Elephas maximus indicus: one gene and its partners. The protein of the gene in region 4 binds, or shares a complex with, the protein of the main gene of each other region. Links are inferred from orthologs where the notes say so. Each region holds a gene or a part of one and is shown on either strand. Other genes may lie near its edges.

Region 1 (7,057 bases), on a different chromosome or scaffold from region 4:
ATGCCCACAGTTTAAGGGTGAATTAGAAATAAAGCTGTCCGTCTCCTACCTACCCTCCCCTGCAAAACCTGGGAACTACAAAGAAAACTGCCTGCATCTGACCTTGGTGCTAAGTAGAATGGGAAAAAAGCCTCCCCTAAGAACTTGCATCTACAAGCAGGCTCCCATCAGGTTTTGCAGTCCAAATTCACACTATTTTGGTAGAGTGAAAAACTTCAGACTGAGAACTTAGTTTGACATGGACATGGACATGGATTGGTGGTGGCACCAGGTGCCCAACAGAGGCTCTGTCTCCTTGGGATGCTCTTTCCTGAATCTGCGGGCCCTTCCCAGACTGTCATAGGCTCTAACACCTATACATTCTACTCATACCTTCTACAACTGGCTCTAAGCTATCCTGCACTGTCATCTCCTAAAGGCCCCCCTTGAATAGAGATTCCCAAGAAATGGCCCTTCCTGGGGCCTACTTGGAGCCCTGGTGGCACAGTGGTTAAGAGCTTGGCTGCTAACCAAAAGGCTAGCAGTTCGAATCTACCAGCCACTCCTCGGAAACCCTATGGGACAGTTCTACTCTGTCCTGTAGGGTCGCTATGAGTTAGAATTGACTTGATGGCAAGGGGTTTGGTTTTTTTTTTTGTTTTTTTTTTTTGTAGGGGCCTGCTGTGGAGCCCGGGTGGTGAAGTGGTTAAGCACTTGGCTGCTAACCAAAAGGTTGGTGGCTCAAACCCACCAGTTGCTCCTTGGGAGAAAAATGTGGCAATCTGCTCCCATAAAGATTACATACTTGGAAACCCTATGGAGCAGTTCTACTCTGCCCTATAGGGTCACTATGAGTCAGAATAGACTTGGTGGCAACAGATTTTTTTTGGTTGCACAATGGTGAAGTGCTCAGATGCTAACTGAAAGGTCCTCGATCCTAACCCACCAGCTGTTCCAAGGGCGAAAAGACCTGGTGATCTGTTCCTGTAAAGATATCAGCCTAGGAAATCCTATGGGGCGCTTCTACTCTACCTTACACAGTTCATGAGTCGAAATTGACTTGAGGGCACACAACAATAGGGCCTACTTTAGTCCATCTGCCTTAGGTGGTATTTGTGAAGCATGTTCAGGAACCACTTTGGTGATGCTTAGCTTCTTTATCTGCTGGGGGACTTCCGGGGTGAGAGGAAGGAGCCCTGGACTGGAAGTAGGAAGAAAACTCCTATTAACCAAGTTGTGGCCTCTGGACCAAGCCCTACTCGTCAATCACCTCAATTTGTCCTTTACTGGAAGTAGGATGCCACAACGGGTTTTGTTTTGTTTTGTTTTTTGGAGGAATTACTATGCTTTTTTTTTTTAATAGGAAAGTGAGTCTCAGAAGAAGCCGAGCAGTCATAGCTAGAAAGGGGCAGGGCCAGGTGTTTAACCCAGGCCTAAGTCCAGAATCTGTGCTCTTAAACTCCCATGCTGAAAGGTAACTATCCCTTTCTTCCCTCCCCCCACTTCCAACAGTAAAAGCAGCACCAGAGCCAGAGCGTTTTACATCCTCCCCCACCCAGGCACAGGTCTGGAATCACCCACTTTATTCTGGCTTCCTGTTTCCTCCTAAGGATTCCAGGTGGCACAGTAAAGAGCTTGGCTGCTAACCAAAAGATCGATGGTGCAGTTCTACTCTGTCCTAGAGGCTCGCTAAGAGCCAGAATCAAAGCAAGAGCAATGGGTTTGGTTTACTCCTACCAAAGGTCCCCTGCCTCTACTCTTTCCTCCTTCAATTCACCCTCCATTATGCAAACAGATTTTCTAAAATGCAAATCCAATCATCACTGCTCACTTTAAAACTCATCTTGGCTTCACATTGCATTTAGGTTAAAAACTACAGAAGTCTATTGCTTCCAACTTGTCTTTTCAACCTCATCTCTGTTACTAACCTCCACCCACCTCCTCACCCCACATATATATATACCCTGAAGCAGAACACAAATTACTAGCTGTTCTTCCAATACTTTCTCGATAAAGGTTTGTTGAATGACTAGCTTCTCCCTGGACTTTGCTTACCAGCATATGGAGAGGCCCTCCTCCCCAGACTCTATTCCTCAAGCTCAGATCAAGCTTCTCCTTCTCAGGAAGACTTCATCCACCTTCTCAGGCCTTAGGACAGTACAGAGGTCCTTTCCCTTTTAATTTTTTTTTTTTTCTTGCTGGGGTAGCTGGCAGGAGTTAACTAAGGAACAAACTGGAGTGGTGAAAGGCAGTATCACAGGGACTGCTGGACTCTGGACCGGGGCAAACCAGATCTGAGGCCCCACTCTGCCACCCTAGCTATGTGTCTAGGGACAAATATGCTTAAAAAAAAAAAAAAAAGTTGCCATGGAGTCGATTCCGACTCATTGAGCCTCCATGTTTTTCAGAGTAGACCTGTGCTCCATTGGGTTTCCAACAGCTGTAATTTTTTGGAAGTAGATCACCAGGCCTTTCTTCTGAGGTGCTTAGGTGGATTCAAACCACCAACCTTTTGGTTCACTTAATCATCTGAGCCACCCAGGGACTTCCAAGATTTGCTTAACCTTCCCCAAATCCTGTTTCTTATCTGAAAATGTTGAATGAAAACACCTACCTTAGAGTTGCTGAGAGAAATGGACCTACAATATGCAAAGTACTGTTCCTAGCAGTTAAAGGTGAGCTATTCTTATTCTGGAAACCCTGGTGGCATAGTGGTTAAGTGCTAAGGCTGCTAAGCAAAGGGTCGGCAGTTGGAATCTGCCAAGCGCTCCCTGGAAACTCTATGGGGCAGTTCTACTCTGTCCTACAGGGTCACTATGAGTCGGAATCGACTCGAGGGCACTGGGTTGGTTTTTTATTCTTATTCTAATTACTCATAGAGAGAAGTTGTTTCCAAGTTGTTGTTGTTAGGTTCTGTCTCCAACTCATAGCGACCCTAAGGACAACAGAATCAAACACTGCCCAGGCCTGCCCCATCCTCACAATTGTTGCTATGTTTGAGCTCATGCTGCAGCCACTGTGTCAATCCATCTCCTAGAGGGTCTTCCTCTTTTTGCTGACGCCCTACCAAGCATGATACCCTTCTCCAGGGACTGATCCCTCTGGATAACATGCCCAAAGTATGTGAGTCAAGTCTCACCGGCCTTCCTTCTACGGAGCATTCTGGCTGTGCTTCTTCCAAGACAGATTTGTTCCTTCAGACAATGTACTACTGCTATTCAAAAAGTTTTCACTTGCCATTTTTTTTAGAATTATGTCGCCAGGCCCTTCTTCCTAGTGTGTCTTAGTCTGGAAGCTCCACTGAAATCTGTCCACCACGGGTGACCCTGCTGGTATTTTAAATACCGGTGACATAGCCTCCAGCATCACAGCAACACGCAAGCCTCCAGAGTACGACAAACTCACAGACGAGTGGTGGTGTTTCCAAAAACCGTAGGGAATTCTCCGAGCACTGTCCATGGTATGTGGATTCCTGCTAGCTGTCTGGGTGGCCAAGCGAGACATCCTTTTTTTTTTTTTTTCCTGAGGCGCGCCAAGTCCCCTCACTTCTCTGGGTGGTGCTGACGCTTGCGCCCAGAGCGGAGCAACCAGAGTGAACTGGGTTCCTCGATCCTACAGCCCCGAGCTCCCACCTCCACCCACCGGGCCCTTGAGTCACAACCTCTTCGGGATCTGCTCCGCAGCGCCACCGACTGCCTGTCCGGAAGTGCCGGCAGTCAGCGGGAGGCCTGGGGCGGACCGGGACTCAGCGGATATTGGCCCACGTGCTCCCGGCCTCCGCCGCCAGGCACCGCCCTCCGGCTCGGCGCAACACGGACTACACTTCCCAGAGTGCACAGTTGCGGGGCCTTGGCTCGGCGGGGGCCTCGGGCGGCGAGCCGCTCCGTCGCCTGCTCGGGGTCGCGCAGACTGGCGCGAGGACAGGGCCAGGGACCCGGAATGAGTTTCCGCGCAGTTCCGCTGGACCGTGCCGGGCTGTGCCGGGTCGGGGTGGGCCAAGGCAGGCGGGGGGGGGGGGCTTGTGTTGGCGGGGCCGGGGACAGGCGCTCGGGGCACCCTGCGCTTGCCAAGGTCCCCGCCCCGTCCCGGCTGGACCAGCTCGCCTGTCAGTCACTGGGGCGGAGGCAGCGGCGGTAGAGGGGCCGGAGCTGGGCGGTGAGCAGATCGTGGGCCAGGCCGAGCGGAGGGGACCTGCCACAGACCCTCAACTCCACGGACCCTTCGTCCCAAGCTCTCAAAGCTGCACCCCCGCGCTTCCTTGGACTTCTCCGTAACCCGCAAAAGGCTCTCTCCCCCGTGATCTCCCCACCCTCGTGACCTCCTCGTAGGACCCGAGAGCACCCCCAGATGAGGGTGTTGTAGGTACAGGTCAACGACCCTGTGATCCCTCACGGGCCAGGGGCTCGGTTTCCCTCACAGACCTCCCCCATGACTGCCTCTCACAGATTCTGAGGATAGAGCCGTGACCTACCATTAGGACCTCCGCCTAATAGCTCCACTCAGACGGCTGCCTTCTCCTGGGAGTCCTCCTCAGGGGGTCTCCTCATATAAGCACCCCCTTTGATCTCTGGCAAGCACCCCACCTCCAGCCGAGGTGGGAAGGCCTCCGTAGCCATGCCTGCCTTGGGTCCCCCGTCACCCTACCACTCCCTGGGTACCCAAGCTGGGGTCTAGCAGGGCGTCAGCAGCCAAGGGGCTGGGGCAGGAGAAAGGTCAGGGTCTACCTCCCTACTGGGGAGGGAGCAAAGATGGAGCGGCGGGAGGAGCAGCCAGGGGCTGCAGGGGCTGGAGCAGCATCAGCCTTGGACTTCACTGTGGAGAACGTGGAGAAGGTATGAGGGCCCTGGGGTGGGCACTCCAGTGACAGAGCAGAAGTTCTGGGAACTGACATTGAAGCCCAAGCCTAGGCCTGGGCTGGATGCCTGCTGGGATGGTGCCCCAGAGCACCTGGCTTTTGCTGTCTCTCTTGGCAGGCAGGACAGCAGTTTTGCAGTCTCCTAATGGGCTATTTTTGTCTTTCCTTAGACACGGGTCCCCTGTGGAGAGATACTGTAGGGTCTTGGGATGGTCGCTTCAGGGAGCTGATGGCTTAGACCTCCAAGGCAGGCTGGCCACGCTCCAGCTCCATGGAAACTGCATGAGCAGTGCAGTAGGAAACCAGGAACCCAGCAAATGTGCAGCTTAGTTCCCAGGAACCATACAGGCGCTAGACCATCCTGGACCCTGACTTTGTTGCACCTGGGGCTCCGAAAATAATCTGGAATTAAAACAATCTGGGTTATGTTTTTGCTCTTCCTTGGTAAGGGTGCTTTGGGAGTGGCTGTCCCCTTTACTTTGTGCTATGTCGGAGGGGCCTGGCCCTGCTGGCAGCTTCACAGGACGCTTCCCTACTCACCTCCCCACATAACCCCTTGCCATGGGCCTCCCAGGCTGCCCTCCTGCTTAGTCCACCTTTTTTGGGGTTGCTTCTCTGGTTCTTTTCTGGGTTCTGTCTCCAGGGGCTTGGAATGCAGGAATGCATGCCTCCTGGGATGAGTGGGGAAATGCCTGGGGCCACCTTGCTGGAAGCAGAGGCTGGAGATATTCAGTACTTATTCTTGAACCCTGTTGCCATGCCAAACTGTGAGAATGCATCCCTTCTGCTTCTGTTCTCTGCCTGCCTCAGCATCCCGAGGAGCCAGACAACTGGCTGGCAGGGGTATAGATAGGGCTAAGCCTACTTGGGTGGAGCCTTCTTAGGGGTCAGTGTCTTGGCCTCACTCTCCCACCCCCTAGGGCTGGGCAGTGTTGGCATGGTGGCGCAAGGTTCCATGTGCTACCGGGGAGATAAGCCACTGTTTTCTTACTGCGTGAAGTCCCAGTGGAATTGGGGCCCTGAGGATTCTGCTAGTTGAGATCTAAAGGCTAGACGTTTTCCAGGGCTGCAGCTGTGGCCAAGGCTTCTCTGGACCGACTTGGACCCTCACATGTGCTCTCTGAGAGGTGTTCTCACTCTCCCCTCCAGTATATCTCTGCTTCAGGGCTGCCTGGCAAAGTCTAAGTCCTGCTCAGATTTCATACTGCCTTTGGTGCCAGCATCTGGAGTGACTTAGGGATGATCCTGGGGGAGCTGAAGGGAGCTGTTGGAGCTGATGGGAGCAGCTGTGCCTGGGAGGGTCAGAGCCCTTGAGGCTGCGCCATGCTTTTCTCAGGCTTGGCTTTTTCCCCACGGAGCCATTCCTTCCACCTGGACCTTGCCCTTTACCTCAAGTGCCTCTCCTTTGGGGATCTCAGCCTCCTTTTTTCCTGCTTTCCTGGGTTCCCTCTTTGAACTCATACGTTTTGCTTCAAGAAGAGAGTATGGTAGAGCATGGGCAAGGTTCAGGCTCTCAAGATATCAGAGGACCCTGGGCCCAGGAAACACTGCCGAGCCCTGAGCTCTCCCTCCTGCCCAGCCCCCCAGTCAGGGAGGGGGGCAGTCTTGCAGGACCAAATCATGCCCTCTGTTCTGGGCTCTGGCACGATCCAGAGTGGCCAGCATCTGCTCAGTCCTGTGCTGTCCTGCAGGCACTGCACCAGCTCTACTATGACCCCAACATTGAGAACAAGAACCTGGCTCAGAAGTGGCTGATGCAGGCCCAGGTCTCCCCACAGGCCTGGCACTTCAGCTGGCAGCTACTGCAGCCCGACAAGGTGCCTGAGATCCAGTACTTTGGGGCCAGTGCCCTGCACATCAAAATCTCTCGCTACTGGAGTGACATCCCCACTGACCAGTACGAAAGCCTAAAGGCACAGCTCTTTACCCAGATCACCCACTTTGCCAGTGGCTCCAAGATTGTGCTGACTCGTCTCTGTGTGGCACTGGCCTCGCTGGCTCTCAGCATGATGCCTGACGCTTGGCCATGTGCTGTGGCAGATATGGTACGGCTCTTCCAGGCTGAGGACTCACCAGTGGATGGCCAGGGCCGCTGCCTGGCCCTGCTAGAGCTGCTGACAGTGCTGCCCGAGGAGTTCCAGACCAGTCGCCTGCCCCAATACCGCAAAGGGCTGGTGCGGGCCAGCCTGGCGGTGGAGTGTGGGGCTGTCTTTCCATTACTGG
Region 2 (7,835 bases), on a different chromosome or scaffold from region 4:
CAACTTTTAAACCATTAGGGAAGTAAAACAGTGCCAAGGGTAGCAACTGTTATAGGTTATAATGGCTCTGAGCTGCTCCTGAAACGCAATATCAAAATCTGTTTTCTTTTCAAAGAGACAAGATGGCTGACCAAGGGGAACTTTTTCAGACATTGTTTACCACAAAACAGGTTTGAAACACCAGTCCCTAGCCTCGTAGACATTATTTCCAACTCTTCTATTCCCTGTTAAACAAACTTTCCTTCTTACTTTGTGAGGTCAGCTTTCCCACGGGACTCATGAACTTGTACCAGAAGAAGATCTGGACATAACTTCTTAGCATCATCTGCCCACATGCTTCTAGCAACTCCGAAAGCACGAGCTTCATAACTTACTGCAATTATCCTAAGGTTAGAAAAAAAGGAAGAACAGAAAAATATGATTCCATTAGGACAAGCAAAGACAATTAGAAACTTAACAACATAAACAGGCTATAAACCTATAACAGTACAAACTTTTTGGCCATAGATGCCACCATTCAATCATAAACACAACAGTTCAGAGATCTCAAAAATAAGACCTAGCATATATCCCTACAGATTGAAAGAGTAATTGATGGTTATAACAATAACAATGATACATACCCACCACCCTTCCATGATCTGTACTGTGCAACTGCACAAGGTTTATTCCTCAAATGAGGATTCTGCCGCTGCTCCACTTGAACAAAAAAACAGTCCATGTCCACTAAAGCAACTACCCGATCCTGTCCAGGGTAGGTGGTAGCCATTTTTCTGGAAAACAACATTTCATGGACAATTAGAAACGATACCTATTGGAATGGATTCTTAAATACAAAAGTACAAGCAACACCAACAACAAAAACATAAACTGGACTTTACTGAAGTTAAAAACTTTTATGCATCAAAGGCCAATATCAAGAAAGTGGAAAGACGACCTACAGTACAGGAGAAAATATTTGGAAATCATACAAAAGAACAAACAACCCAGTCAAAACACGGGCAAAGGACTTGAATAGACATTTTTCCAAAGAAGACAAATGACCAATAAACACATGATAAGATGCTCAACATCATTGGTCATTAAGGAGATCCAAATCAAAACCAGGAAATGAGGTACCACTTCACACCCACTAGGATTGTTATTACTTAAAAAATAACAAATGTTGGCAAGGATATGGAGAAATTGGAACCCTCATCCATTGCTGGTGGGAACGTAAAATGGTGCAGCTGCTGTAGAAAATAGACTGGTGGCTCTTCAATCAGTTAAACATAAAATTATATGGCCTAAGCCAGACACAGCCAGACACGAAAGGACATATATTGCATGATCCCATTTATGTGAAATATCTAGAATAAACAAATGCATAAAGACAGAAAATAGATTAGTGGATACCATGGGCTGGGAAGATAGGGGAATAGGGACTTATTGCTTAATGGGTACAGAGTTTCTGTTTGGGGTGATGAAAAAGTTTTGGAAATGAAGAGTGATGGTGGTTGTATAACTCTGTGAGTGTGATTACAGCCACTGGATTGTATACTTGAAAACGATTAAAATGGCAAATTTTATATTGTGTATATTTTACCACAAAAAAAAAAAAAGGATACCTAATCCAATGTGCCATTCTTCCATCACAGAGTCACCATGAGTACACTGGGACCTAACGAGAGTGAAACAAGCATTTTCTATACTACTGACAGAATAAATTGGTTCAGTTTTAGGAAGATAATAAGTATAAAGGCCTAAAAATACCTACCTCCCCAAAGAAATGAACACTTCACAAAAGAAAATATACAAACATCCAATAAGCCCATGAAAATGGGTTCAAATCATTAATCTGTTGCCGTCGCGTCAATTCCAACTCAGAGTGACCCCATAGGACAGAGGAGAACTGCCCCGTAGGGTTTCCAGGGGCGGCTGGTGGATTAAAACTACCAACCTTTGGTTAGCAGCTGAGCTCTTAACAACTGTGCCACCAGGGCTCCCGACATCATTAGTCATGGGCCAATGCAAATTAAAACCACAATATACATCAATAGGGGAATAGAGCCAACAGCTAATCTAGCTGATAGACAGAACTTAAGTATAAGTTCAGGGAAAAGAGAAGCAGAAAATGATATACAACATCTTAACATTTATGTAAATACTTTAACGTCTTATTTTGAAATAATTTTAAACTTACTGAAAAGTGACAAAAATAGCAGGGTTTCCATAAACATAGTTTCCCCTAATGTTAACATTTTACACAGCACAATTATCAAAACTAAAAAAAAAGAACATTATTGGTATAATATTATAAATTCAACTACATGCTTTATTTGGATTTTACAAGTTTTTCCACAAATGTCCTTTTTCTGATCCAAGACTCCATCTAGGATCCTGCACAGCATTTAGTCATCATGTCTCCTTAGTTTCTTCCAATCCATATACTTTCTCAGTCAGTCTTTGTTTTTCATGACCTTTACACTTTTGAAGAGTACCGGTCAGTTATTTGGAGAAGGTCTCAATAAGATTTTGTCTGATCTTTTCCCACATTTATAATGAGGTTATGCATTTTTTGGCAAGCTTTTCTAAGTGTATCGAACCAGGAGTCTTGCCTTCCAGTAGGAGATCTGGGTTCAGTCTCCAGCTGGTGCACCTCAAGTGTCATTGGAGGCTTGCGTATTTCTATGATGCTGAACAGGTTTCAGTGGAGCTTCCAAACTAAGACACACTAGAAAGAAAGGCCTGGTGACCTACTTCTGGAAAATCAGCCCCTGAAAACCCTATGAATCACAATGGTCTGATCCAATTGTGCATGGGGTTTCCATGAGTCAGGACCACTTGTAGGCAGCTAACAACAAGGTAGTGTTCCCTGGATTTGTCACTGAAAAGTTACTATTTTTCCTTTTGTAACTAATGATCATCTTGAAGGAGATACTTTGAGACTATGATAATATCCTACTTCTCCTCAAACTTTCACCACTAATTTAACCACTCATCAGTGGATCTTGCTGTAATAATCATTATTGTAGTGTTCTAATGGTGATTTTCTACCCATTTATGTAAACTTTGAACACAAACAATACTGCACACTGTTCGCAGATACACACATAAACAAAGAAATGGATGGTAGTTGGAAGAATACACCCTACATATTTGAGGGAGGGTACAGACTAATGTTATCATCTAACATTGTTACTGATCTGGAAGAAGGAATAAAAGTAAAGCAGTGGCTCCCAAACTTTGTTGCACATTGGAATCATTTGGGAACTTTTAAATAATACCGATGTCTGGTTTCCACCCACAGAGATTCTAATTTAATTGGTATGGGGTGCTTCCTGGGCATTGTGATTTTTAAAAACTCCCCTGGGCATTTCTAATATGCAGCAGAATTTGAAAACCACTAACTTAAAGTAAATAAGATACCTATGGAAACAAACACCAGTAACTGATGATTTAAATTTGAGAAACAGGCTATACAGTTGAGCAAGCACCCAACTGTATTCTTAAAAAAGCCTGTAAAAAATTGACATACACCTTGAAAAAAAAGTGTCACACAATTACAAAGCTGGAACAAGTGGAAAGAGCAACAAAGAATGAAGAAAATCAGAGTATTCAAGGCATTAATTCCTTATAAATTCCTATTGACCACTCATCTAAAACAGGCAGAATGTGATACTTTAAACATGTGTAAGTTAAAACCACAGCATGTGAGAAATTTCTTTATTTTGTATTGGCTTTTATGTAGTACTGGAACAGATAATGCCTGAGTAAAAATAGTAAATGCATTGTAACAAAAACAGCACAGCCCAAAGTATCATATTAGATACAAATATCAGAACTGGAGTGTGCATAGGAAGCAGTGATTTAAGCCCAGTGAACATTTTAGTGAGTACAGAAACAGATATGCAGGCTTTAACAGATAATGAAGATGTTGAGGTGTTCAGTTTATGTATTTTGGTGGAGAAAGCAAGAGCTTTTTAAGGATGGAAAATGAAACACACTCTACCAAAACCATGCTTTGGGAACGAGAATTACGCTACTTTGAAATCGTATATATAGCAAATTGTCAATACCACACGAACCTTCAATAATTGTAATTATTCATCTTTAAATATCTAGAGTCATTCCAATATGTACAAAACAAGTTTGGTGCCTATGAAATGATGACATATCCAGGAAAGTAAGTACAAGTGAAGAGGGAGATTTAAGAGTTATAGCGAAAAATATTTTTTCTAAAAGAAAAATCCCCTTAGAGGACAATACCAGGGCCTTAACTACGTTTCTATTTTCACGTAACTTAGGCCCCCCCCACCCAAAAAAATTGGGGGGGGGGCTAATTTTGTTACCAGCCTCTGCTGTATCACAAAACCAATAGCCAAGGCAGCATGAAAAGTCTAAAAACATTGATACTGCACAATTCTAAACTCTCTTACCAGTGTGATAAACACCTGGCAGAACTGTCAACGGCGGAAGCCGCAGTTGCTGGGTTCGGAGTCCACTGGAAGGGAGATGAAAGGGTCTTGAATATCTTGTCGCCTTTCCAGGACCAGTCCAGTTGTTCGAGAGAGATCTATTCCCAGTGTCGACAGAGAAATGGGCCAAGGGTCGCGAAGGATCCTTGCCCGGGCAGGCGCCCGCACAGCCAGGAGTGTGGTTCAGCCAAGATCTAGGCGCTAAGCCGCAAGCCCTTCTGACAGATGATCAGACTGCGCGCACTCCGATAAGGACCGTTGACGCGCCTGCGCACCGCGACCCTTCCGTCGCCCGCTCCGCCCACCGCAGTAAACGTCACAAGGCTGCCGCCACTTCCGTGGGCGCGTGCGCACTGGCGGCTCGGGCGCGTGCGCAGCGCCGGCACCTTCCTGGCTCGAGCTTCAGCAGCTCACGCTCCTCCCCCCGTTCCCCATCCCCCAGCCCAGCGCGGCCCGGTACCAGCTTGTGGTGCCGCCAAGGGAGCCGTCCGTGCCTCGTGCTCTCAGGACGGCCGCGTTGCGCGCTGGCGGCGCGTGGCGCTAGCCATGGAGATGGATCAAGTGAACGCGCTGTGCGAGCAGCTGGTGAAAGCGGTGACGGTCATGATGGACCCCAGCTCCACCCAGCGCTACCGGCTGGAAGCCCTCAAGGTAGCCGGGGTCCTGGCGCCCCCGGGCCTGGTCCGAGACCCTCCCCTGACCCCGACTCCCCCGGCCCCGGTCCCCTGGACCTCCTTCCCCAACCCTTGGGGGGGCCTTCCCTGGCGGCGGTCCACGCCTCTCCCTCCCCCGCCTTCACTGCTCGCCGCGCTTGCCCTTCGTCCCTCCGTTTTCCTCACGCAGGCTGCGCTCCAAATCCCGCATCTCTTCGCCTTCCGGTGGCGCACGTGTTGATCCCGCCCCCAACACCAATCTCTTTCTTTAGAGTTTTCCCTGCACTAAACGTTTCGCTACTGATACACTCTCCTGATCCATCCTAACCAAGCTCCAGTCCACCTAGTACACCTTTACTTACATCCATACACCTCTCGCTGACCCCTCTTCTGTGTCTTGGGCATTTCTGGGCTAGTTCTTACGCGCCCCACGTTTTTTAGTGTGTGATAGTCTTGAGCAAAGATGAACTTCTACCGCTTACTTTGCATTTTAACAAGGGCACTTGGGTTTCCTGAAAGTAGTTTTCTTGAGTCCCGGATGCTTTGGTCCTGGTACTGACTCATGTGTTACAATTCCGGAATCCTAGTACAAATGGGGATGTTATTAGAAAAAGAGCTTATACCCCTATCAAACAATGTTTGTGAGCTCTGAGAAATGGCTGCTTAGAAAAAATATTTGTGCTGTATATATTTTAAGTGTGCAATTTCATAAAATAGCGCCAGTTGGAGGAAACTTTACAGTAGATGGATGTATGCGCCAGGGTTTGAAATAAAAAACAACTGGCTTCTATTAGTCTGTTTTTTGTTATGGAATATTTAAAACAGACATGAAAAGTAGAGATAATACTGCAGTGACTCCTGGGTATACTCATCACCTAAATTCTGTACTTTTAAGTTCTAAATACAGCAGGATTTGTTGACGTATAACAAATCCTAGAAATTGTCATTTCACTTTTATGTACTGCAGGGGTATATCGTTAACAATTTTTTTTTACTCCTTTAGGTCATTTTTTTTTTTTTTAATATTAGTAAGGCCGTACCATGGAAAATCTGGAACCATCAGAGTGAAAGAAATGTTTATCATTTCTTTACTCATACAGTAGTAATCTAGATTTGATCAGATTAGAATTTCTTAGAACGAAGCTTATTTAGTCTCCACACTGTCTTAACGCCCAAGAGAAACACTAACTTTTTATTTTTCAGTTTTGTGAAGAGTTTAAAGAAAAGTGCCCTATTTGTGTCCCGTGTGGCCTGAGGCTGGCTGAGAAAACACAAATTGCCATCGTCAGGCATTTTGGCCTTCAGATCCTGGAACACGTTGTCAAGTAAGGCATTTTACGAGTTTACCACTGAAGTATGTAAGAGAGCAAATCTTTATTTCTTGGATAACTCAGAGGTGTTCTTTAAAAACTTGTTGCCGTGGAGTGGATTCCAACTCATAGCCACCCTATAGGACAAAGCAGAACTGCCCCACAGGGTTTTCAGTGCTGTAAATCTTTATGGAAGCAGACTGCCACATCTTTCTTCCTTGGACTGGCTGCTAACGTTTCAGTTAGTAGTCACGTGCCTCCAGGGCTCCCTAGATGTTCTTTAAGTAAGCAGAATAGAGCATTCTTCAAGGGAAAAAGGAATAATACCCAGAATTATCAGATCCTCCAGGGAATTCTCATTCAAGACTGAACCTTTCTGCTCTTCAATTTCTTCATCCTGTAAAGTGCCTGCTACATACTAAGCATTCAAAAAATAATAGCTGCTAGTCACTCACCCAGCATTTATTGAATATCTATATATGCCGGCAGATCTCAAAGCCTCTTTAGGATTATACAGTGTATAAAACCCAAACCAAACCCAGTGCCATTGAGTCGATTCTGACTCATAGCGACCCTATAGGACAGAGTAGAGCTGTCCCATAGAGTTTCCAAGGAGCACCTGGCAGATTCGAACTGCCGACCCTGTGGTTAGCAGCTATAGCCCTTAACCACTACACCACCAGGGTTTCCATACTGCGTATAGATAAATAAATTTGTGATTGGACATTACTTTTGATTTTCTTTTCTTTTACGTTTTGAGTGTGTACCGTCTCTGAATGGCACTTCCAAAGCAATATTATATGTGAATAACTGAAAACTCCTCCAATGCCTATCACAGAAATCCATTTTTAAGACTTAGCCTCAGGTTTTCTGGAATTGTGCTGTTATTACCTTGTAAACCAGCGTAATAAGGTAGTTGGTGTTATCAGATTGTGTTTTCTGGAAAAAACGACTATATTGTAGTTGTCCCAGATGTATATTTGTTTTCAGTCTATTAATAAAATCATGGGGGAAGCTGATGTGTGCATAAATCCTATGTGAATTCCGGTTAATGGAGTGCTGTATATATAAACCCCTGGAATTTTTCTGTTTCTAGCATTTTGGTTAAATGTGGACTATTTTTGCCCATTCTTTGAAGGGTACAAAATCAAAAGTATAATTTTCTAATGAAATTGCCAACATAATCTAACACAGGAATCAAAACTAGTTTCTTCTGAAGAGAAGCCTTCTAATGGGTTCTGTTTCTGACTTTCTCTTTTTTGGTGGCCAGGTTTCGATGGAACAGCATGTCTCGATTGGAGAAAGTATACCTGAAGAACAGTGTCATGGAGCTGATTGCAAATGTAAGGAATGGTTGGTTGGAAGACTTGTGTTTCCAAGGTAGTTTAGACAAAACATGACTTCTTCAATTTAAC
Region 3 (7,199 bases), on a different chromosome or scaffold from region 4:
GAAGGCACTCACCATCTTCCGCAGTGTTGAGTTTGAGGCTCTTGCCCTTGAAACTCAGCTGTCCCCCAGCCACCTGGGTTTTGGCCAGCGTCTCTGCCAGCTTGGCAATGTCTTCGGAGGCCATGCTGGCCACGCCAGTGGGCTCCCCTGGAGATCTGCAAACTGAGAAAGCACAAGTAGCATTAACAAAGGAGTCTCCGGAGGCTGGTGGTTGAAGGGACAGGATAGAACATCACCCGTCTCAGAGACCTGACCCCACCTCCCCCTGCTATGGAGGCTAAACCACCAGGAGAAATGAAAACAGCACAGGAGAAGCAGCAGTTCTAGAAAAGTGAAGGAGGCAGCAAAGACACAAAAACATCACATCTCAGCCTCTGAAGAGCTGTCATCTCACCACAAGTCCTCCTCTGCCCAACTGCCCAGCTGGGGCCACCTGGCAGAGCCATGTGATCTGCCCCTGTTCTGGGCCCCCAGTGAATGGCAGCTGAGTCCCAGACCAATGGCTGCAGAGAGTCTGCCCCAAGCACACACCCGACTCATCATCTTGGCTGCCGTCTGTTTGAGGGTTCCATTCCTCAAACAGGACACAGATGGCTATGGGATCCAGGTCATCCATCCCAGGGAATGCCCCACCACCCACGCTGGCATAACTCTGGGGGTGGGGCACGAAGGTAGGCCCACTGCACGCCTAGGCTCAACCTTGGCTAGGAGCCTGGGCAACCCATGGGGGCCAGGCCTCAGAGGTTCCCAGGAGACCAGAGCACTCTACGTCACAACAGCCACCATCACAATAGGCCAGGGACAGCACTGCTAGAAAAAGGAGTTTCCAGCCTGGAGCTCAGCAGACCGGCAGAAAAGACAACTCCACTTCCCCAAAGAAGAGATGGCAGGTAATCAGGGGGGACCAAGGAAGAGAGCTGATAAATGATTCAGAATTCAGAGGTATCCATGGAGAGACTCCTGCCCAGAACTCCTCCCCCAATCCAGCCATCCTCAAGACGCAGCTGTGAGAGCTCCCCAATCCTCCCACACCCCCAGGTCTCCTCCAAACAGCCAGCTTCCCACCCCCTTCTCCTGATCTGAAGTCTCATTACCCTGGTTTGTCTGTGTCTGTTTGTCTTTATCGGCAAGCTCGGTTTATTCTGGATATAAGCATCCACTCATTCATTCAAGAAACGTTTATGCATCACTACTCTGTGTTAAAAGGAGCCCTGGTGGCGCAGTGGTTAAGCACTTGGCTGCTAACCAAAAGGTCAGCAGTGGTTTGAAGCCACTCCACAGGTGAAGGATGTGGTAGTTGGCTTCCGTAAAGATTACAGTTTTGGAAGCCCCTGGTTCGAAGCCACTCCACAGGTGAAGGATGTGGTAGTTGGCTTCCGTAAAGATTACAGTTTTGGGAGCCCTATGGGGCAGTTTTCTTCTGTCCTACAGGGTCACCATGAGTTGGAATTGACTCTGCAGCAACAGTTTTTTTGTTTTTACTCTGTGTTGGACATGGTTCCAAGTACCAAGAGGACGGCAGTAAGAGACAAAAAGCCTGCCCTTGTAAAGCATATGTTCTAAATAAGATATTTAGTATGTTAGTGGTAAGAAGAAACAGGAAAGGGAGTAAGGAGTTTTTTGCAAGTTAAAGCAAAAACGGTTAGGGAAAGTATTATTAGGAGACAATAAGATCTGAAGGCTACAGGGACTACACCCTGCAGGTATCTGGGGAAGGGATTCCTGTAAAGGGAACAGCAAACACAAAGGCTCTTGGTGGGGGAAGGAGAGGGGAGTTAGGGGAACTGTGAGGAGCCCCTTGGGGCTGAGCAGTGAGGGAGGGAGAAAGGAGGTATGAGCAGGAGGCCCAAGTCACGAAGACCATTTAAGGACTGTGGGTCTTACTCCAAGTGACAAAACCACTGGGAGTTTCTAGCAGAAGGATGTGATGAGGGACATGATGTGCCCTTAGGTATGTTTTGACAGATCACTCTATCTGCGGTATAGGGCCTGGCCTTTAGAAAGTGCTGGAAGAATGACTGGATGAAACTGAATAAAAATTACCACCACCCCCTCTTCCAGGGCTGGGATGGGGCAATTTGAAGCTGGAAGCCTGGTGGTGGGGCTTCGAGGTGGAACGGGGACACAGATCTTCTCAGCTGGAAGGAGGCCCACACTCAGTCCAGTCGACCCCTCCCACCCACTCTAAAGACGAAAAACATCGAAGCACAGAGGTGAATTGATTTGTTCAAGGTCAGCAAGGGATCAGCAGCAGAGCCAAGGCCACCAGTAAATACGGAAACAGCCGCCTCCCTTCTCGGCAGGAGCGCAGGGACTTTCTCAGGTGCAAACGCATCGCTCACCCAAAAGCGCCAGCCGTGACTCACACCGATCCCCGGGGGCTGCAGCGCCCTCCGCGGGCCGTGGGCGATGGGGACGCGGCGACGGGGGAGCGACGCGTGAAAGCAGGCCTTCGGTGACAGGCGAGCAGCGCGGGAGCCCCACCCGGGATCGCCACCGACGCCACTGCTGGCAGCTGCGGGCTGGGCGGCCTCGGTCGGGCGAGTCGGGCGTCCTCTCTGAACCTCAGTTTCCCCCTTTGTGAAAGGGGCCAGCGCCCCCCACCCCACCCACCTCACCTCCGCGCTCGGCCGTCGCCAGCATGAAGGAGGAGGCCGAGGGGACACCGTCCTCGCCTAGGTCCAAGGTCGCCCGGTCGCCCCTCTCCCATCCCAGGCAGGTGACGGGAAAGGAAAAGAGCCCCGAGCCTACCGTAAACAGGCGGAGCCGCCGCGTGGGGCGACCCGAGCGCGCGCCTCAGCCCGGCAGGGCCGGGAGCGATTTAGGGTCCGGGTCAGGTCAGGTCGGGGTCGCCGTCTCTAAGTCCTGGAGGCTCGATGTCCAGCCCGCACGTCTGTCCGCTCTCCCACAGCTTCTAGCCACTCACGTCTCCCACACCACCTGCTCCCCACACGGCAGCGGATGATGGCGGAGGAGGAGGATTTTGAAAGCCGGCAGTTTCTTTCCTTCGATTTGATTTGTTCGAGGCCCAGGCCGGCTTCTCCATCCCCCGCGCGCGTGGCCTATCGGGTAGGGTAGTCTAGTTCTCCTGCGCGGGGGAGGCAGGCGCGGCAGGAGCGGGCACTATGAACTACCACACCCATGATTCATTGCATTCCAGAGTGCCCCCCCCTCCCCCCGCCTCTCCCTCTTCGCCCTCCCATTTCGGCTTCTGGCTCATTCTCTCGGAGACCACAGGGCGGCGCTTAACCGGGAACTCCCAGAGAGACTACAATTCCCCTAATGCCTTGCGGCGGGCCCCTCTCCGCCTTTCCTGAAAGGCTCCTGTTCTCATAACTTTATTGACAAAGGCTGGGGCTGCCAGAGGCACGCTGCTGGATGTTTTCAGCAACAAATAGATATCCGTTTCTTGAAAGAAAAGACTCGTCTTTTTTGTCGCATAATATCGAAAGGAAATTCGAAGACTTTCACATAAATAGCCACAAGTTATTAAAAAGTAAAAAAAGGAAATACGATCTCTGTAGGAGAGATACTGCGGACACCACCTTAACCAAGGGGTCCACGTTAACATCAGACAGGACGAACTGACCTCTTGCGACTCAGATGTAATGCACAGAGAAGACGCAGCATCACCATCCTGTCAACGGCACAAAAAATGAATCTAATCATGAGGAAACATCGGACAAACCAAAACTGAGGGACATGCTACAGAATAACTGTTCTGTACTCTCCCAAAAATGTCTGTGTCAGGAAAGAAATAAAAAATGAGAAACTGTTGCAGGTCATAGACTACAAAGACACAACAACTAAATGCAATAAGTGGTTGGATTGGTTGCTGGAAGGGGGGGTGCTATAAAGGACAATGTTGAGACAATCAGCAAATTTGACTGTATATTAAATAGTTTTTTATTGTACCAGGGTTAAGTCTTCTAATTTTGATTATCGTACTAGGTTATGTAAGTGCAGTGCAGTGAGTTACTTAATATGGTCCTTCTACCCATAGTCTTTGTAACTCCCACCAAATGACTGAGTGGAACTAGACAAATAAGATGCTTGTAGCCCATCAAAGGGATTGGATAGCCTGCTAATAATGTAAATAAGGCACAGGGCACCCTTGTAGGGGTGGGGCCATGCAAATAAACCCTAAGGGGGGGATTGGCCAGTTTTGTCATCCTGCTAGGCTTAAAATGAGCCCTCTTAGAGGTGGGAAGGCAGGTTCTCACCACCACCAAGAAAGAAGAGCCAGGAGTAAAGCATGTCCTTTGGACCCAGGATTCTTGCACAGAGAACCTCCTAGATCCAGGAGACAGAGACCACTGTAACACCCGAAGATGGCGGCAGAGAAGCGGTGGCACAGAAGCGGTGGCTGGGGCAGCAGAACTAGGAAACCGGCAGGAGATGGTGCAGTGGGCTTCCCAGCCCACAGGTTGAGAAAATGGAGCACCTTCAGACAGGAAGCTCACTGGCAGATTGGGGTGCCCCTGGACACTTATCAGCAGAGCTAAAAGAGTTTTGTAACTCTTGCCCCAGCAGGGTAGAGACCGAGGGCCAGAGAGAGGCCTGCCTGTGGGCATAGCCAAGGAGCTATCCTGAACAAAGAAGTATGTCCTGAGTAGTACCTGATTCTGAATTGTAACCTGTTACTTCCCTAATAAACCCCGTAACTGTATGGTTAGTGGGTTCCGTGTGGCCCTTGCAACGCATTATCAAATCCAGCAGAGAAGTAAGACAGTGCCATGGGAGGAATGGTTGACGTCAAAATTGGTAAAATGGTCAGAGGGTGAGGGCATATATGACCTCTGCCTCACAGGAATCAGCCTTGGGTTGTTGATCTTCATTCTCCTTCCCCCTCGTGGAGTTAGAGGAGGCCAGTCACCCTGCCACACCGTTTTTGTAGTAAGAGACTGCCTGTGTTCTTGGGAAATATCTACTGAACTAATTAGGGGCAAAGGAACATGATATCTACAACTTACTCTTAAATGGTTCAGAGAAAGAAAATACATACATATAAACAGTTGTTGTCAGGTGCCATCACGTCAGTTCTGACTCAGTGCCCCTATGTACTGCAGCACGAAACGCTACCCAATCCCGCGCCACGCTCACGGTCCTTGTTATGCTTGAACCCATCGTTGCTGCAGTTGTATCAGTCCGTCTCTTTCAGGGTGTATGAACAGAGAATGATAAACGTGACAAAATATTAACAAGTGAATCTGGGTGAAGTGTATCTGGGAGTTCTTTGAATGTTTTTGCAACTTTTCTGTAAGTTTCAAATCATTTAACCACAAACAGCTTTGGGATAGCTTTTAAAAAAAAAAACAAATAGATTTTAACCATTATATTATTATAACATGGGGGCCCTGGTGGCTCAGTGGTTAAGAACTCAGGCTTCTAATCAAAAGGTCAGCAGTTCGAATCTACCAACTGCTCCTTGGAAACCCTATGGGGCAGTTCTCTCCTGTACTATAGGGTCACTATCAATTTTTGTAATCAATTGGAACCGACTCGATGGCAATGGGTTTGGTTTGGTTTATAGATAACATGCGTTTGTTATAAACAATGCAACCAATATAGAACAGGAGAAAGAAAAAAGTAACTGGGACCTGAAACTAACACGAGAGCTAATCTGTGGCAGCCTTCTTTTCCATGTTACCTCTCACAATCCTGCCCACACACACGCATTTGCTTTACTGGCAATTCAGGGTTAAACAGATCAGGAGCCACACCCTTTCACATGCAGCTAATTTAATCTTTACAATCATGAAGGAAGTGAGCATCATTACCACCCTTCAAAGGCAAAGCTGTGAGGAAACTGAAGTCCAGACCTAATGGGACTTTGGGTCCTGGTTCACCCAGCTACTGAGAGGTAGCACCTGCCCCATAGGTCCCCTTCCATCCCATCACATTGCCTGCTCTCCCTCTCCTTCTCTGCCTGCAAGGTCCATATCAAACAGCACCTCATCTAGGAGGCCTTCCTGTGCCACTCCAGCCAGAATTAGCCTTGCTCTCCTCTGGGCCCCCACAGCAGTTAGCTTTCTCACGGTCAGAGGTAGCAATGTTCTTGAGGGCTTCTTCCCCAGACTTCGAGGGCCTCTGAGGACGGGTACTGTAGCCAACCTGGCAGCATCCCCTCTGGGCATCCCCACCACAGGCGCTTCGGTTTTCCTCCTTCGAACTGGATTCCAGTCAGGCTCACCGGATGTTTGCTTAAAATGAGTCATCATCGGAGACGTTAGAGACACTCCCAGTTAGGCCTGACGCCTGTGTGATTCCAGCTTAAACAAAACCAAACCAGCTGCTGTGGAGTCGACCGTGACTCACAGCGACCCCATGTGTCTCAGAGAAGAACTGCGTTCCATAGTGATTTCAATGGCTGATTTTATAGAACTAGATCGTGAGGCCTTTCTTCCAAAGTGCCTCTGGGTGGACTCAAACGACCAGCCACTCAGGTGGTAGCTGAGTTAATTGTTTGCAACACTCAGGAACTCCTGATTCCATCTGTTGTTGTTAGGTGCCATCCAGTTAGTTCTGACTCACAGCGACATCACGTATAACAGAACAAAACGCTGCCTGGTCCTGCACCATCCTCATAATCACCGTTAAGCTTGAATTCGTTGTTATAGCCACTGCGTCATTCCATCTCGCAGAGGGTCTTCCTCTTTTTCGCTGACCCTCCACAGATGATGTCCATCTCTGAAGTAGAGAAAACATATTTTCTTTAGTGTTTTAGTATTGAAGTAGAGGGAATATATTTTCTAATGTTTTAATATAACTGTAGTCTTTGAAACGTAATTACTTGCTCTGGAATCTGTCCCATGATTGTTCCTTTAAAGACAAACAAGGTAATCCATTTTTAGTTGCTGATTAAACTATGTTCCTCTCCCAAGGAAAAAAATACGCAAAACTGAGGTAGCTGAATAAAGCTTAGATCCATCTTGTGACAGAAACCAGGATGGCATGAAGAGACTTGCAGGACTCCAGGATGGCATGAAGAGACTTTTCAGTATTTTCCCCATTTATCACGGTGTTGCTTATTGGTCCAGTTGTATGACGGTTTTTGTCTTCTTTATGTTGAGGTGCAATTCATACTGAAGGCTATGGTTTTTGATCTTCATCAGTAAGTGCTTCAAGTCATCTTCACTTTCAGCAAACAAGGTGTTATCTGTATATCGCAGGTTGTTAATGAGTCTTCCTCCAATCCT
Region 4 (6,958 bases):
TGAGACCCAAGGCCCCCAGGCAAACAGAGACTAGAGATTACCTCCTCACAGCCAAGGGCAAGGTTAAATTTTACAGGACACATAGGTTGCCTGCTTGTCCTCACAGAATGGTATTTGGCTTCCCTCAGGGTGAGTGATCCAAGGAGCAGGGTGAAAGCCTTTATGACTGAGTCCTGGAAGTCACAACTGTCCATTCTGACATAGGCCATCTGTTAGAAATGAGTCGCTTGGACCTCCCTACACTCAAGGAGAGGGGAATGAGGCTCAACCCTTTCAGGGGAGGAGTATCAAAGAATTTGTGGGTGTATTTTAAAACCATCACATTTTTAAATGCTGGCAACCAGTTCAGATATAAAACATGTTGTGACCCAGCCTGGTCAAACAACACCTCTCAGGGTTGGAGTTAGTAGATAGGCCACTAATCTGTACCTTCTGTACTAATCTGGGAGCCCTGGTAGCACGGTGGTTAAGAGCTCAGCTGCTAACTGAAAGGTCAGCAGTTCGAATCACCAGCTGCCTCTTGGAAACCCCATGGGGCAGTTCTACTGTGTCCTATACGGTCGCTATGAGTTAGAATGGACTGGACGGCAACATGTGCACGCTTGACCATGTAATCTGGTCTTTAGATGAAAGAGGTGCTTGGTCAACCATGTTGCATGGAAATATGACAAATCTCACCATTTTGCTTTTAAGGAAAATAACGCTGGCGCTAATGCTGAGACCAAAAACCAAACCCATTGCTGTCAAGTCAATTCCGACTCATAGTGACTAAGAAGTAACATGTAATTTGTTCATTGTTGTGCCCCCTATGTAGAAAATTGAGTGTCAGATAAGGAAAATATCTCATTTGGTATTTTTGACTGGTGAATGAGTTAATAATGAAGTCTTTAAGGACAGCTTCTTAATGGTTTGCAAAGTCAACAAAGTTTGTGGAAATTGAATAAATGGAATAGCCTGGCCGTGTATCTGGTGAATGTTTTATTTGCTTAACCATTAGCCTTCAACATGAAATAGCATTAACATTTGAGTACGTTTATATATTTAAATCTCTGATTTTTACTAAACTGTAACGCTGCTATTTAGGATTACTCTTCCTGTGTTCAGGTAGAGTCGGCGTTGTGTCTCCCAGCGCAAACATGGGAGATTAGCTCTAGTGCACCTACCTAGAAATGGAAATCCAGGGCCACAGCTAAGGATACTTTCAGTTTTACTAGTTTCTGTTTTCCAAAGAGGCCGTAACAATTCGCACTCCCGCCAGCAGCATCTGAGTCTTCACTTGGCTTTTTCCTGAGGGTCCTATAGGGAACTTGGACTTGAGTTCCCAGCAGGCAGGTCCTCTGATGTGTTGTGTCCAATCTGCATCACTTGAGTTCCCAATATACTTACTTACAGGTGTGCTTAAAACTACATGCTAACTTCTTCTTGGTCATTTGGGTTCTCTTTGGCCAAGGAAGAGTCCTCATGGTGAAATCTTTTCTGGGGGAACTTGGCGAGTCCGATCTCTGTGACTAGCTATCTGTTCTTGCTGCCAGAAATGAATTGGGAAGGAGGTTCCAATACGTCAGTTAAAAAAATCTGTGCTTCTCTACACAGATGCCAAAACCTGACTTTAGACTCAGGAGACAAGGTTGGAGGACGCCATTCTGTCCACATCCTTACTAAAAGTGGGTGATGATAACAGCTAATGCTTGTTGAGCTTGCGGACCCTATGAGGTAGGCAACCCCATGGCATGTGAGTTCTGTCAGTGCACAATCTGGTCCGGACTGCTCATCACATTCTCCCTACAAGTGTCAGGAACCCAAAAACTTGTTGACTGCATCCAGGTTTTTAACTAGGATTAGAACATCTGCCAAGGTCCAAACACAGAATTTCCTCGTTCTGTTGGCTAGACATGACCACAAAGACTGACTGATCAGATGTGCTAAGACAAAAGTAGCTTGTGTTTCATCGTGGGAAAGTAACTATCAATCCTTGCTTCATTCACCCCTTCCTCTGCTGCTAACCCAAAGGTTGGAAATTTCAGTTTACCCAGAGGTGCCTCCATTGAAAGACCTGCCACTGAGAACCCTACGGAGCACAGTTCTACTCTGACATACTCGAGGTCCCCATGAGTTGGAATGGACTCCATGACAACTGGTATTGGTGCTGATGGAGGCCTGGGAGTAAGAAGATTGAACTCTGGAGTGAATGGGATGTAGACCTGGTTTTGGTAGGCCCTAGATTAGTTGTGGAAGAAACCCTGGTGGTACAGTGGTTAAGTGCTACAGCTGCTAACCAAAGGGTTGGCAGTTTGAATCCACCAGGTGCTCCTTGGAAACTCTGTGGGGCAGTTGTACTCTGTCCTATAGGGTCGCTATGAGTTGGAGTCAACTCGACGGCAATGGGTTAGATTAGGAGTAGGAGCTGTGGTGGTGCAGCGGTTAAGCACTCGGCTGCTCACCAAAAGGTTGGTGGTTGGAACCCAGTAGTCATTCTTCAGGAGAAAAATATGGCAGTGTGCTTCTATGAAGATTCAACAAACAAACAAAAAACCAAACCACTGCCGTGGAGTCGATTAAAACCCTATGGGGCAGTTCCACCCTGTCCTACAGGGTCGCCATGAGTGGGAATCAACTTGATGGCCATGGGTTTAGAGTTTTTTGTTTTTGTTTAGATTGGGAGTAAAGTCCCTCAGTGTCACAAGCAGTTTGTGACAAGCTATTAACCTAAAGGTTGGTGGTTCAAACCCACCCAGTGGCCCCTCAGAATTAAGGCCTGGCATTGGGCTTCCGGACACCCTCGTGACATACTGGTTAAGAGCTATGGCTGGTAACCAAAAGGTCGGCAGTTCAAATCCACCAGGCGCTCCTTGGAAACCCAATGGGGCAGTTCCATTCTGTCCTATAAGGTTGCCGAGTCAGAATCCATTCAGTGGCAATGGGTTTTTAATGAGCTTCCATAAGGAGCCCTGGTGGCACAATGGTTAAGCGCTCCACTGCTAACCTGAAGATTGGCAGTTAGAACCCCCCCACTGAGTGGCTCTGTAGGAGGAAGACCTGGCCATGTTCTCACATAAAGATTACCAGCCAAGAAAACCCTATGGGACAGTTCTACACTGTCACAAGGGGTCCCTATGAGTTAGAATCAACTATATGGCGTCTAAGAACAGTCGGCTTCCATAAAGATTACCAGCCAAGAAAACCCTATGGGACAGTTCTACTCTGTCACAAGGGGTCCCTATGAGTCAGAATCAACTATATGGCGTCTAAGAACAGTCGGCTTCCATAAAGATTAAAAACAAACAAAAAAACCAGCCAAGAAAACCCTATGGAGCGCTGAGAGCCCTATGAAGCCCAGTTCTGACATGACAGCGGATCGCCAGCAATCGGCACGGACCGGAAGGCAAGGGGCTTGGGTCCTTTTTGGTTTGGATTAGTAGTGGTTTAGGACTGGTTCGTTCATTCTCCAAGTGTTTGAGACCCTCCCTAAGCCCTGGGCACGCTGCGGGGAGCACGTGGTGACAGGAAAGGTCGGGGAGAGCATGTGGGAGACAAGGGAGGGATGGCTCGGAGCCCGGGACAAGCGGGGGCCTCCTGCACCATGGCGAACGCTCGCACAACTGGTACGCGTGGGTCGCTACGCCAAGGCCCCCAGCCCCCGGCACTGAGGGCCCGGTGCTCCGCGTGCGCCGGCCGCGCCCCGACTTTCCCGCCCAGGCCCGCAGCCCGTCCTCCGCCTCTGAGTCACGGCGGGAGCTGGGCGCGCCGGGAGCGCGTCGGCGCATGCGCCCGGAGTCCGCCGGGAACGGGACCGCGAGGGCCGGCGGGAGCGCGCGCGCCCACCCTGCGCGCCGCCAGCCCCGCCCCACAGGCCCGGCGGCTGCTACGGCCGCCCTCACCGCCTGCGTGCGTGCGCGCTCCCGTCGGGGCCGCGTGGGAGCGCGTCGCGTCGTTGCCCCGCCCTGAGCGCGCGCCGGCGTCGTCTGCGTCTCCGGGCATTTGAATTGCGCTTCCGCCATCTTTCCATCCCTCAGTCAGACGGGGCCCGGAGACGCTTCTCGAAGGTAGCGGCGGGCAGCGGGCGCTGGGGTGGAGAGGGCCGGCGGGCGGCCGGGGAGGGCCGGGGCCGTGGCGGAGCGGCGAGCGGAGGGCAGCGGAGGGCGGGAGGCGGCGGCCCTGAGGAGACGGTTAGCTCCGGGACGGCGGGCGGGCGGGCGGGCGGCCTCCTTGGCGCGCTTTCCTCCCCACAGCCTCGGGGCCGCCGTCCCTGCTCTCGTCCGGAGCTCCGAGCGGGCGGCGAGGCTCCGGGGCGGCCTCCGGGGGTGCGGGCTGCGCCTCGGCCTGCCCGGCGGCCCCGTGACCAGGCGCTCTCGGCCGCGCCCAGCCCTGGGCCCATCAGGCCCGGCCGGCGTCTCGGGCGTCGGGAAGGGCCGCCATGGCGCCCGTGCACCCCCGCCCTCCTCGGCCGCCCGCCCGCCCGCCCGCGGGATGAATGGGCCGCGGCCTTTGTGGCCGCGGCGGCACGTGGGGTGTCCAGGGTGGGCCGGCCATGTGGCGACCCGGCCGCGTCACGCCGTCCCCCTTCCTTTGCAGGACCATCACGATGGCTGCCCAAGGAGAACCCCAAGTCCAGTTTAAAGTACGTGGTGGCCCCTCTGGGCTGGTGGTGGCCCCTCTGGGCTGGTGCTGGCCGGGGGCGGGCAGGAGGGGCCGGGGCAGCGGCTGTTGTTGAGGGGATCCCTCGGTCCCTGCCAGCGCCTGCTGACCGGCCGCTTTGTGTGTGCTGACACCGCACGAGGTCCTTTAATTCTCTCTCTCCGTGACGGGGGAGGGGGGCTAGCCCTGGTTTGTGGGTGAGGAAACTCAGTAGGGCCGCCCGTACCGGGGGTTACATAATTCTTGGGAAAGACATGCTATTTCCGAGGAGTTGACCCCCATTTGGGTGGAAGGGGAGGACGTTATATGAAAACTGTCTTCGTGTGTGATTTACTCACAGCATTTAGATGTAACAGGGCCACGTAATAACTAAGTGTAAATATCAGTTAACTGAGTTAAAATACTGTCCAGGCACTTCTAACAACTCCGTGATTCCAGGCTTGTGAAATATATTTTGAGTTTGTTTCTTGAAAGAAAATTGTATCCCAACAGCTCGTATTGGTTGGTGATGGTGGTACTGGAAAAACTACATTTGTGAAACGTCATCTGACTGGTGAATTTGAGAAGAAGTATGTAGGTATGTGGGGGGAGAAAAGGGTCTGTGGACATTTTTATGAAGTGAATAATTCAGTGACTAATCTGAAATGTTTGTATTTCAGCCACCTTGGGTGTTGAGGTCCATCCCCTTGTGTTCCATACTAACAGAGGACCCATTAAATTCAACGTGTGGGATACAGCTGGTCAGGAGAAATTTGGGGGACTGAGAGATGGCTATTATATCCAAGGTAGGTGTCTCCTCTGTGACTTGAGTAGTTTTGGAAAGAATTTGTATTCTAGTGTCCAAAGTCCATTCCAGCATATACTTGGCTTAATTCTGGGTGTACTGGGGATTATATAATTACATTAAAAAAAGACATGCTGCCTACAGCAAGCTGACCATTGTTTTATAGGTGGAGGGGGAGGAAATACGAAAGTTGTCGTGTGTCATTTTATTTCATGCTTTGTCATGCTAGGTGTTATTTTGAAAAAGAAAACAAAATTATGATTTATACCGAGGCTCAAAATTTAAAAGCAGTAACAGTAAGCAACAGACAAGCTGTTGCTGCAACTTAAGTATTTGGAAATGTGGGTTCAGGTATATATTTTGGTGGTTATTAAGGATTATTTCTTGTTTGTTATGTTAAAACCACTTTGACCAGATACTAGGATCGGAGGAGCTAGGCTCTATATCTTACAAGTGTTGTATAAGACAACTAATTTCTCCTTTGTACCAGTTTTTACAGAATTTTTTCCAAAGTATTTAAGAACTGTAAAAGAAATAAATGGTCATTGTGGCACCAAACAAAACAAAGATGAATAAACAAAATACTAATTTTTCCTGAAATCTCACTTTCCTAATGCAGAGTTGTTTGAAAATGTCTACACCTTTTGCTCTGACCATGTGCAAATGAACACATAGGGTTTGTTTTTTAAGAAAGAAGTTATATCATGCTTGTAAATAGTCTGTAGTTTATTGCCTTTTTAACTATATTATGACCGTCCCTACAGGTCAATATATGGATTTATCTGAGGTTTTTGAAATAGAACTATACTATTTTCTAGTATACATTCAATAAATTTTATGAGGTTTTATTTTTTTTAATGAGGATTCCCAGGCTCCATGCTAGGCCCTTAATCTACTTCAGATACTTCCTGGGGAATGAGGCAGTGTTAATGAAGTATTTGGGAGGTATAGGAGAAGAAATTTATACAGTCATGTCTTTCAAGCTGTTTTAAAAAAATATAAAGGTGCCCAAAAGCAAGAAGAGAAGGCAGGAAGGGACAGGAACTGGATGAATGGACACAGGGAACCTGGAGTAGAAAGGGGGAGTGTGCTGTCACATTGTGGGGATTGCTACCGATGTCAAAAAACCAATAACGTGTATAAGTTCTTGAATGAGAAATTAACTTGGGCTGTAAACTTTCACCTAAAGCTCAATAAAATAAAGAAATAAATTTTAAACTATACTGTTATAGTCATTTAAGATTTTCAAAATTGAAAGAGCACTTGAAATAGAGGGCTGTAGATGACACAGAGCAGGCCTGAGATAACAGTCTCTCTGGTCCATGGCTGTTAGCATTTCTTATCTGTGTAGTAAACTCCTAGGTGTGTTCTAATCACTACAAGTTTTCCTTCCAGCCCAGTGTGCCATTATAATGTTTGATGTAACATCGAGAGTTACTTACAAGAACGTGCCTAACTGGCATAGGGATCTGGTTCGAGTATGTGAAAACATCCCCATTGTGTTGTGTGGCAACAAAGTGGACATCAAGGACAGGAAAG

The links.
Region 1: the proteins of RAN (region 4) and IPO13 are in contact, whole or in part, in a crystal structure (PDB 3ZJY), measured with the Homo sapiens proteins. The link is inferred for Elephas maximus indicus from reciprocal best matches to the Homo sapiens genes RAN and IPO13. Residues at the interface, in NP_006316.1 of Homo sapiens: Lys37, Lys38, Tyr39, Leu43, Gly44, Val45, Val47, Pro49, Trp64, Gly74, Leu75, Arg76, Asp77, Gly78, Tyr79, Ile81, Gln82, Asn103, Arg106, Asp107, Arg110, Val111, Tyr147, Trp163, Arg166; in NP_055467.3 of Homo sapiens: Leu33, Tyr34, Tyr35, Ile39, Lys42, Gln46, Leu49, Met50, Gln53, Glu73, Tyr76, Phe77, Ser80, His83, Ile84, Ile118, Thr121, Arg122, Val125, Val172, Glu175, Glu176, Thr179, Ser414, Asp415, Arg784, Asp785, Pro787, Asp788, Pro829.
Region 2: RAN (region 4) and XPO5 share a complex: the UniProt entries of both Homo sapiens proteins name them as parts of the nuclear export receptor complex. The link is inferred for Elephas maximus indicus from reciprocal best matches to the Homo sapiens genes RAN and XPO5.
Region 3: the proteins of RAN (region 4) and RANGAP1 are in contact, whole or in part, in a cryo-EM structure (PDB 9B62), measured with the Homo sapiens proteins. The link is inferred for Elephas maximus indicus from reciprocal best matches to the Homo sapiens genes RAN and RANGAP1. Residues at the interface, in NP_006316.1 of Homo sapiens: Asp18, Gly20, Tyr39, Val40, Ala41, Thr42, Leu43, Gly44, Val45, Glu46, Glu70, Lys71, Leu75, Arg76, Tyr79, Asp91, Thr93, Ser94, Arg95, Val96, Thr97, Asn100, Lys123, Asp128, Arg129, Lys130, Lys132, Lys134; in NP_001265580.1 of Homo sapiens: Ser29, Gly58, Asn59, Thr60, Asp86, Thr89, Gly90, Arg91, Leu92, Arg93, Ile96, Asp121, Ala123, Phe124, Gly125, Asp127, Asn151, Cys152, Gly153, Met154, Gly155, Arg189, Asn190, Arg191, Gln217, Asn244, Asp245, Asn246, Thr247, Asp273.

What each region holds. Positions count from the first base shown.
Region 1 is NC_064821.1:86,205,774-86,212,830, forward strand, and holds the start of IPO13 (importin-13), read left to right. Parts: upstream 1-4,050; 5' UTR 4,051-4,727; coding exon 4,728-4,811; intron 4,812-6,525; coding exon 6,526-7,057. UniProt on the Homo sapiens protein: Functions in nuclear protein import as nuclear transport receptor. Serves as receptor for nuclear localization signals (NLS) in cargo substrates.
Region 2 is NC_064819.1:108,009,027-108,016,861, reverse strand, and holds the start of XPO5 (exportin-5), read left to right. Parts: upstream 1-4,825; 5' UTR 4,826-5,003; coding exon 5,004-5,108; intron 5,109-5,472; exon of another isoform or gene 5,473-5,562; intron 5,563-6,313; coding exon 6,314-6,435; intron 6,436-7,690; coding exon 7,691-7,763; exon of another isoform or gene 7,764-7,770; coding exon of another isoform or gene 7,771-7,800; intron 7,801-7,835. Other genes in the region: POLH (DNA polymerase eta), read right to left, coding at 250-384, 624-769. UniProt on the Homo sapiens protein: Mediates the nuclear export of proteins bearing a double-stranded RNA binding domain (dsRBD) and double-stranded RNAs (cargos). XPO5 in the nucleus binds cooperatively to the RNA and to the GTPase Ran in its active GTP-bound form.
Region 3 is NC_064822.1:185,454,441-185,461,639, forward strand, and holds the start of RANGAP1 (ran GTPase-activating protein 1), read right to left. Parts: upstream 3,002-7,199; 5' UTR 2,752-3,001; intron 163-2,751; 5' UTR 125-162; coding exon 13-124; intron 1-12. UniProt on the Homo sapiens protein: GTPase activator for RAN. Converts cytoplasmic GTP-bound RAN to GDP-bound RAN, which is essential for RAN-mediated nuclear import and export. Mediates dissociation of cargo from nuclear export complexes containing XPO1, RAN and RANBP2 after nuclear export.
Region 4 is NC_064840.1:1,475,090-1,482,047, reverse strand, and holds the start of RAN (GTP-binding nuclear protein Ran), read left to right. Parts: upstream 1-3,949; 5' UTR 3,950-4,043; intron 4,044-4,572; 5' UTR 4,573-4,582; coding exon 4,583-4,618; intron 4,619-5,127; coding exon 5,128-5,212; intron 5,213-5,294; coding exon 5,295-5,420; intron 5,421-6,814; coding exon 6,815-6,958. UniProt on the Homo sapiens protein: GTPase involved in nucleocytoplasmic transport, participating both to the import and the export from the nucleus of proteins and RNAs. Switches between a cytoplasmic GDP- and a nuclear GTP-bound state by nucleotide exchange and GTP hydrolysis.